2 linked regions of the Nothobranchius furzeri genome follow. The protein of the gene in region 1 interacts with the protein of each later gene in a pairwise test. Links are inferred from orthologs where the notes say so. Each region holds a gene or a part of one and is shown in the gene's direction. Other genes may lie near its edges.

Region 1 (3,753 bases):
TTAAGATATAAAATTCCATCAGGTAGGCTAGAAAGGTCCATAGTAATCCCATGTGATCTGTTTTCAATAGTACGCCAGTTGTTGCAATCATAGATATGTATATAAACACATGACAAACACACGATTCATGACAGAATAAAAGAAAGTCAATAAATAGGTCGAGAAATAGTGAAAATACAAAATAATTAGCTGGGTTACATTTTATTGCTGGCGGCCCATTCTAGCTGACCGATGTAATTTGGATGTTGGTTGTCTTATTTTTTGGGGTGCACATTTTGCATATGTGTTCTGTTTATGTGGGCTTACCTCAAAATAATCTTGAAACATCTCTAAACAAAACCTATTTCACAGAACAGGAATAGATTAAGGCTAAATTATGTATGTATATATATATATATATATATATATATATATATATATATATATATATATATATATTGCTGGCTACCTGTCCAGGGTGTACCCCTCCTGTATGCCCGTTGACTGCTGGAGATAGGCTCCAGTGCCAATACAAAAAAATAAAAAAATAAATCCCCAAACACAGCCATTTGGACAAAAAATAATTGGCTGTCGTAAAATCGTTATTGGTTTTGTAAAACCAAATAAATTACTTATTGTGGTCTCAACCTGAATAACACGCAAATAGCCTATAGGTGGGGCACATGGTTCACAATTAAGTCACTTTCAAAAGCAAAACCGTTTATTTTAACATTTGCAAGTATGTTATCTCAAGCCTATGTGTTCTAAGGTTTGTATCAAGGCAAATCGCTTGTAAATGTGTTAATATTTAATCGAGTAAAGATTGTTTTACATCAAGCTGATCGCTCACCTTCCAGCTGCTACCATTGAGAGCAGAGGTCTGTTGTCTGGGGTAAGATGGCCGCCGTTTAGCTACGCCCTCAACTCTCGCTTTCACCAACTAGTGTTTATATCATGTATATGTCGATGGTTTATATACACATAGCTATGGTAGGCTGGAAAAAACGGGCAAATTTGTCCACTCTGCATTGACTTTGGACAGTAAGGAGACCCATCCAATATGGCGGCGACACAGTGACGCTCTCCAGCGCCGGGTGTCTACATGTCTATGCGCATCACCCCCACATGGGGGCGCTCTAACCCGCTGCATGGTTTCAGTTTGATGAACGAAGAGGAAGTCGACGACAGCGCCTGATGTCATCACGCAGAACGTGTAGCACTGAAGCAACATGGCTTTGAATGGAGGTATGTGAACTTAACTGTTATTTCCTTGCTAACTTTGCCGTTTCACTGTGTGTTTTAGTGTCTTACGTCGTTTGGCACTCATTTAAGCGGTGATTTCTGCGGTATTTTTATTTTTATTGTAATATTTTTCATCGCCACCGGGGAAAGTGTTATCTCCACGATAACAGCGTTGTATTTCTGGCTAACTTGTCATTTCCTGACCCCTTTTGATAAAAATTCAGCCAAACAACGAGAAAATAAATCACCACGCGTAAATATTAAAGCTGTGTTTCTGGTTGTGTAGCTTTGCACTGGTGCGATTCAGTTAATTTACTCCGTTGTTGCTGACCTGCAGATGAAGAGGACTTTGAGTGGGAACCTCCATGTGAGGCGGAGATGAAGGTGATCCAAGCTCGAAGGGAACGGCAAGATAAAATCAGCAAGCTGATGGGAGACTACCTTCTAAAAGGCTACAAGATGCTGGGGGAGTGCTGCGATGCTTGCGGGGTGAGTTCAGGCCCGAGGCGGTTCTGGGGTGGGTCCAGGGTGGGCCAGTGCCACCCTGACAGCAATCTTGCACCTCTCTGTGGCCTCCCTGCTGAGGACAGAGCCTAAGCATTAATAAGGAATTTATCTTTTGTTTTATGAAAGTATTTTTGCAAAATGTTTACTTACTGACTTATTCAAATTACCTTAAGAGAACTGCGGTTATCATTTTGTTGTAATGACACACTAAAAAAGGTAAAAGCAAATCTTCAAAACAAGCTAAGCTTAAACTCAAACACTGTCAAGGAACGCTCACCCCTCCCATCAGCGATTGTCCTTGGCCGGAAACAGGAACCTGCATTGCCAGAGGAAAAGAGATGGCGCTAAACACCGGTCACTGTTTTCTAGGTCCAAACATCTTTTGTTGACTGACTTCAAGTGGTGTTTTTTTGTTCTTTTTGGGCCTCTGGTAGTTTGTCCTGAAGTTGAAGTAGTAACAAATATTATAAAACATAATTATGGCTATATAAGTGATTGTGTGTATTCGTGTGTGTGTTTTCAGACTATTCTTCTACAGGACAAGCAGCAGAAGAACTACTGTGTCTCGTGTCAGGAGCTGGACTCTGATATCGACAAAGATAACCCTGGTGAGCGCCAGTTGTGTCTGCTCTCCCCTGATTTTGGAGCTCATTAGGCCCTAAAAAAGGGCAGCTGGTTCCTCTGTGGTGTCTTTAGGATTTAATCTCTCCAGTTCATATTTCAGTCCCACCTCTTTGTTCCGTTTTCCAGCTCTGAATGCTCAGGCTGCATTGTCTCAGGTGAGAGAGCAGCAGCTTGCAGCTCAGTCCCCTCCACCGACCCAAGCCTCTCAACTCAACGAGACACCCTGCAGCAGCAGTCAGGCAGGGGTGACGGTTCCTCAACCCCGACCAGAGCACTGTGAGGGCGCTGCTGCTGGAGGAAGAGCCCTCCTGCCTCCACCTCCCGCCCCATCTCCTTCAGCTCCTGTCTCCAGCCCAAGCGTAGCTCCCATTCGTACCCCTGTCAGTCCGCAGAGCGCCGCTCTACGACCTGTGCTGCAGGAAGCCGAGGAAGCAGTTCTTACTAAACTTCGCTGGGCCACTACCCAGTTACAGAGTTCATCCTCACTTGAGGCAAGCATCCAGCTCTGCAGCCTCATCACCAGCTGCGCCAGCTCACTGCGCAGCCTCAAGGAGCTCAGCCAGTAACCACAGGAGACTGGTTGACTCTACGGAGTGACGGGAATATCTTTTCTTGTTCTGGCTGCTGTAGGGTACAAACTTTGGGTCGGCTTTATCTCTCTGCCTAATTCTTTGCTTAAAGCTCAAATTAAATGGAAATTGGATCACAATTCAAATGTGCTCAAGTTCCTCTTGAAAAAGTGTAGGTGTGCCGATGGTAGAAGTATGTTGCTTTTGTCAAACTGTAAATTATGAGTACAAACATTCATCAGTTGTCAAAGCAGATCGACTTTCTTTAGTTGTCTTTGATCGTTTGATGAGTAAAAAAGGTTTGATGTAAATAACATAGTGTGTCTGTGAGGACATTTTGTAGTTCAAATTTTAAATTGAGACTCAGAATCTTCATTTTCATATTTAATCTAGAACATACACACCTTTCCCGCTGTACATTATTAGGACTTAATATTTGAAAAAATTAGTGATCCGTTTTCTAATTATGTGACTTAGAATAAATTCAGTTCTGCTCTGTAGATGATCATTTTGTCCACCAGAGGGCGCCGGTTTACATGCTAGCACATAGGTGGTTAAATAAAAAGTTTATTCTCAAATGTGCAACTTTCATGTAAATCCTTCGTTTTAACTCGCTAATCTGAAGCCTTTTGGAAACTGACAGTTTTTCTTATATAAAGTGTTTGTGATGAAGCTGTTGAATTATTTCACTGCCATTTTGTGTTTGGACTACATGACATGTCCTAATTTAAACAGAAACAAGATAAAAAACGTGTGAACTGATCAAATTGAGCAAATCTAGTAGAAAAAAAATAAATAAATGTAGTGATCAAATCGGCTATATCCAGTCCAG
Region 2 (3,514 bases), on another chromosome or scaffold:
GGTGGGTAACCGTCGGCCGAGACGAGGGGTTCAGACTAGAGTTGTCACGGTGTGTGAATGTAACCTCACGGTTATTGTGACCAAAATTATCCCGGTATTTTTTTAAACACGTTACATTTTCAGACAACTACATAAACCCTGTATATCAGGAAATATTGTCCTCAGTTTGTGTCTAAATTTTGCCTAAAATGTGTTATTTTGTAATTATGTTGTTTATTTGTTTACATTTTTCCCCTTTAGTCTTTAAAATACCAATATTTGCCCATAACTTCTTATTTTTTGTCTGTTTGATGTAGGGCTGCAACAAATGATTATTTGGATAATCGATGAATCGGATGGGGTCTCGACACGATTAATCGATTAATCGGATTACATAGGGACATTTTTAAAAACTGCTAGGGAAACGTTATTTCTCTCCTTCCTTCACTTTATTTAACACAACATTATTAGAAAACAGTTCAATAGCAGAAAAACAACATGCCATCACCTAAATTGTCTTATAAGGTGTATAGACAGAGACCCTAAGCTACATCTATCTGTGACCTAAAATGCTTGGTCCAAGTTAAACAGCTTAAAGAGCAAGTCAACCCCTACCAGAGTCTAACTCCACTCCCACTTCATGTTTGAAAAATGCAACAAATGCTGTTACCTGGCAGACCAAGAGGGCGGAGCCGCTAACAAATACACACACACTCAGGCTCACGACAGCATTGTGACATCATAATGTACCAGTTTACATCATAGCATACCTCTTAGCCAACGAATCGATGACGCAATTCGTTGCCAACGCTTTTAGTAATCGATTTTCATTGAATTTATCGATTCGTTGTTGCAGCCCTAGTTTGATGTCATCATTTTAAAAGTATTAGATCAGATGATACTCAGTACTCAAGTAGCCTTCTACTCAGATACTTTTTTACCCTTACTTGAGTAATAAACCCTACATCAGGAAAATATTGTCCTCGGTTTGTGTCCTTCCAGTGAGCTTTGCAGATGTGGGAAAATGTCATCAGGCAGTAATCGTTGTTAAATTCATAATTATTCTCGGAGAGAGACCAACTCTTATCTGCCCCTGGGAGCCCCGTAATGCATAGCGTCATTTCAACATGGCGGTGTCCGCGACACGGTTTATATGCAGGTAGCGGCGCTGCGGCTGCTTTATATAGCGACTCGTTGCATTCTCCCTCAACCCAAATCCTCGGATCACGCATTTTAGCTAAAACGCTAACGTTAGCTTGCCTTGCGTTGACTGTAGAGTTGTGGGTGATGGTCACGCAGATGTGTCATGAGATTTGAAGCGTTGCTGCCTTTCACAGACACTTTTTCTGCACGTGCTGCAAACAGGATAGCCGTCTTCTATCAACTGTCCCTCGGCATTCTTCAGATATCCAAAAGATGCCCGTACTTCCCACTTTGTCTTCTTTGAGGGATAATAAATGTCCTGAGCACTGCCGTCTCCTCCTCTGGCCATTATTTCAGCTTTAGCTTCAAGAAAGTTTTGGTTGTAAACAACAAAGTGCGCATGTGCCGCCGGCAACTTCAGCAGATGATACGGTGGCTGGTAAGGGTCACCGCGCCTACACCGCAGCCACGGTAATCCACCGAGATAATACATTTTTTTAAAAACAAGACGGTTATTATTATTGTCAACTTTTTTACCGGGGTTTACCGCTACACCGGTTACCGTGACAACCCTAGTTCAGACCAGCGTGATCTGAGTGGGAGCCCCAACAGGAAACTCATCCAGACGACATTTACTTCAGTTTTGAACTGAAAATCTATTCATAACATTTTAGACCGTTTTTATGGAACTGTGGTGTAATTAGTGAGAAAGTGTGGTCAGACGTGTTTCCCAGCTAAACATTAACCACAATAATCAAGCAGCTCTGGTCTCAAATAGAGAATCTTCATCGTGTTTAACAACCTCTAGTCCCGAGCGGGTTTCTGTTGGACCCGGTCCCACGGTTTCCTGACTTGCTGGCGCCTCTTTTGCAGAATGACTCCGTCGTGGCGGGCGGAGGAGCCATAGAGATGGAGCTGTCCAAGTACCTGAGGGATTACTCGAGGACCATCCCCGGGAAGCAGCAGCTGCTGATAGGAGCGTACGCCAAAGCCCTGGAGATCATCCCCCGACAGCTGTGTGACAACGCCGGCTTTGACGCCACCAACATCCTCAACAAGCTGCGCGCTAAACACGCACAGGTGGGACGGAAGAAGCCCCGGTCACGTTGATCACAACCCCACGGCGGTGCTGGTTTTGTTTAAATGACGGTTTTTCTGCTTCGTCTGTCATCACAGGGTGGTACTTGGTACGGTGTGGACATCAACAGCGAGGACATCGCCGATAACTTCGTCGCCTGCGTCTGGGAACCGTCCATCGTGAAGATCAACGCCCTGACGGCGGCGTCGGAGGCGGCGTGCCTCATCCTGTCTGTGGACGAGACGATTAAGAACCCCCGCAGCAGCATGGACGGGCCTCCGGGAGGCGCCGGCAGGGGGCGGGGCCGCGGGAGACCACACGCCCACTAACGCAACATAAACCAAACCCGGTTCTAGTCAGATCCAGAAACGGAAAGCTGCAGGTTAAGAGTTAATCTGGATTAAATGAGAGAAGTTCATGAATCAGTCCAGACTGTTTCCTTTTTCTGTTTTTCACTCGTAGCTTTGTCTCCGTAAGCATTTCACACGTTCATCCTCTGTGGTCACGGAGATGTTCTGAAGAACAACGGCCAGGAGAGCTGGTCAGTCACTGTAATCTGGCAGGTTTACTGACGGAATTAGGAGCAGTCCCGAACCTCTCACCGGTGAACGGCTGCAAATCTATTTATTGGACCATTCTTATCAATAAACTCACGGCTGAAATCCTTCAGGAGGTGGTGTGTTCCTGTCCCGAGTCAAAGACGAGGCTCTTTCTTTTATTTAATAACAGGAAGTACGTTACATGTGAAACAAGATGCACGGTGGTGTTGAGTTAATCCTGACCAGAGGTGATGAGGCGCAGAGCATCCCTAGAATATTTAATGAGCTGCACTAAAACACGTAATAGCACCTTTGATGTCTGCAGTGTGATGAGGGTGCAGAGCTGCACCTGGTTTCTCTCGTGGAGCTGCAGCATCTTGGCAGGTAAAGAAGCCCCTCCCCCAAACAAGCTTTTGTTTTATTTTTAATTATTGCCAACAAGAAAAGTCAGTTTAGCACTGATTAGCCTTTGGTGAGCATGGGGGGGGGGGGGTCCTAGGGCTTTAATTTTACATAAATCTTTCTTTTGCGTCACCAACAGTAATCCCAGTGACGTCATGTCCCAATCCTTTGTAATCCAGGACCCTCTCAACGAGTTTTAGATGTAGTCCTTTCACCGCTAGATGGCGCACCACCGTCGCAGAAACGGGTTCCGTGGCAGGATCTAATGTGAGGAAAAGGTCTTTGAGTAGAGTCTCTAGGTAGTTTGTTCTGTGAGGTCTTTCGGTCATAAGAGGTTCGTTTCAGCCTCCATCTGGTGATAACTTCTCGTGTA

The links.
Region 2: the proteins of znrd2 (region 1) and cct7 interact in binary tests that used the Homo sapiens proteins (3 or more experiments, as listed by UniProt). The two-hybrid records come from large-scale screens. The link is inferred for Nothobranchius furzeri from reciprocal best matches to the Homo sapiens genes ZNRD2 and CCT7.

Annotation. Positions count from the first base shown.
Region 1 is NC_091750.1:56,222,257-56,226,009, reverse strand, and holds znrd2 (protein ZNRD2), read left to right. Parts: upstream 1-1,129; 5' UTR 1,130-1,208; coding exon 1,209-1,224; intron 1,225-1,558; coding exon 1,559-1,710; intron 1,711-2,251; coding exon 2,252-2,336; intron 2,337-2,478; coding exon 2,479-2,918; 3' UTR 2,919-3,207; coding exon of another isoform or gene 3,208-3,220; 3' UTR 3,221-3,593; downstream 3,594-3,753. Other genes in the region: leucine repeat adapter protein 25-like, read left to right, coding at 3,208-3,220. UniProt on the Homo sapiens protein: Might play a role in mitosis. Antigenic molecule. Could be a centromere-associated protein. May induce anti-centromere antibodies.
Region 2 is NC_091754.1:61,263,200-61,266,713, forward strand, and holds the end of cct7 (T-complex protein 1 subunit eta), read left to right. Parts: intron 1-1,995; coding exon 1,996-2,202; intron 2,203-2,298; coding exon 2,299-2,529; 3' UTR 2,530-2,869; downstream 2,870-3,514. UniProt on the Homo sapiens protein: Component of the chaperonin-containing T-complex (TRiC), a molecular chaperone complex that assists the folding of actin, tubulin and other proteins upon ATP hydrolysis.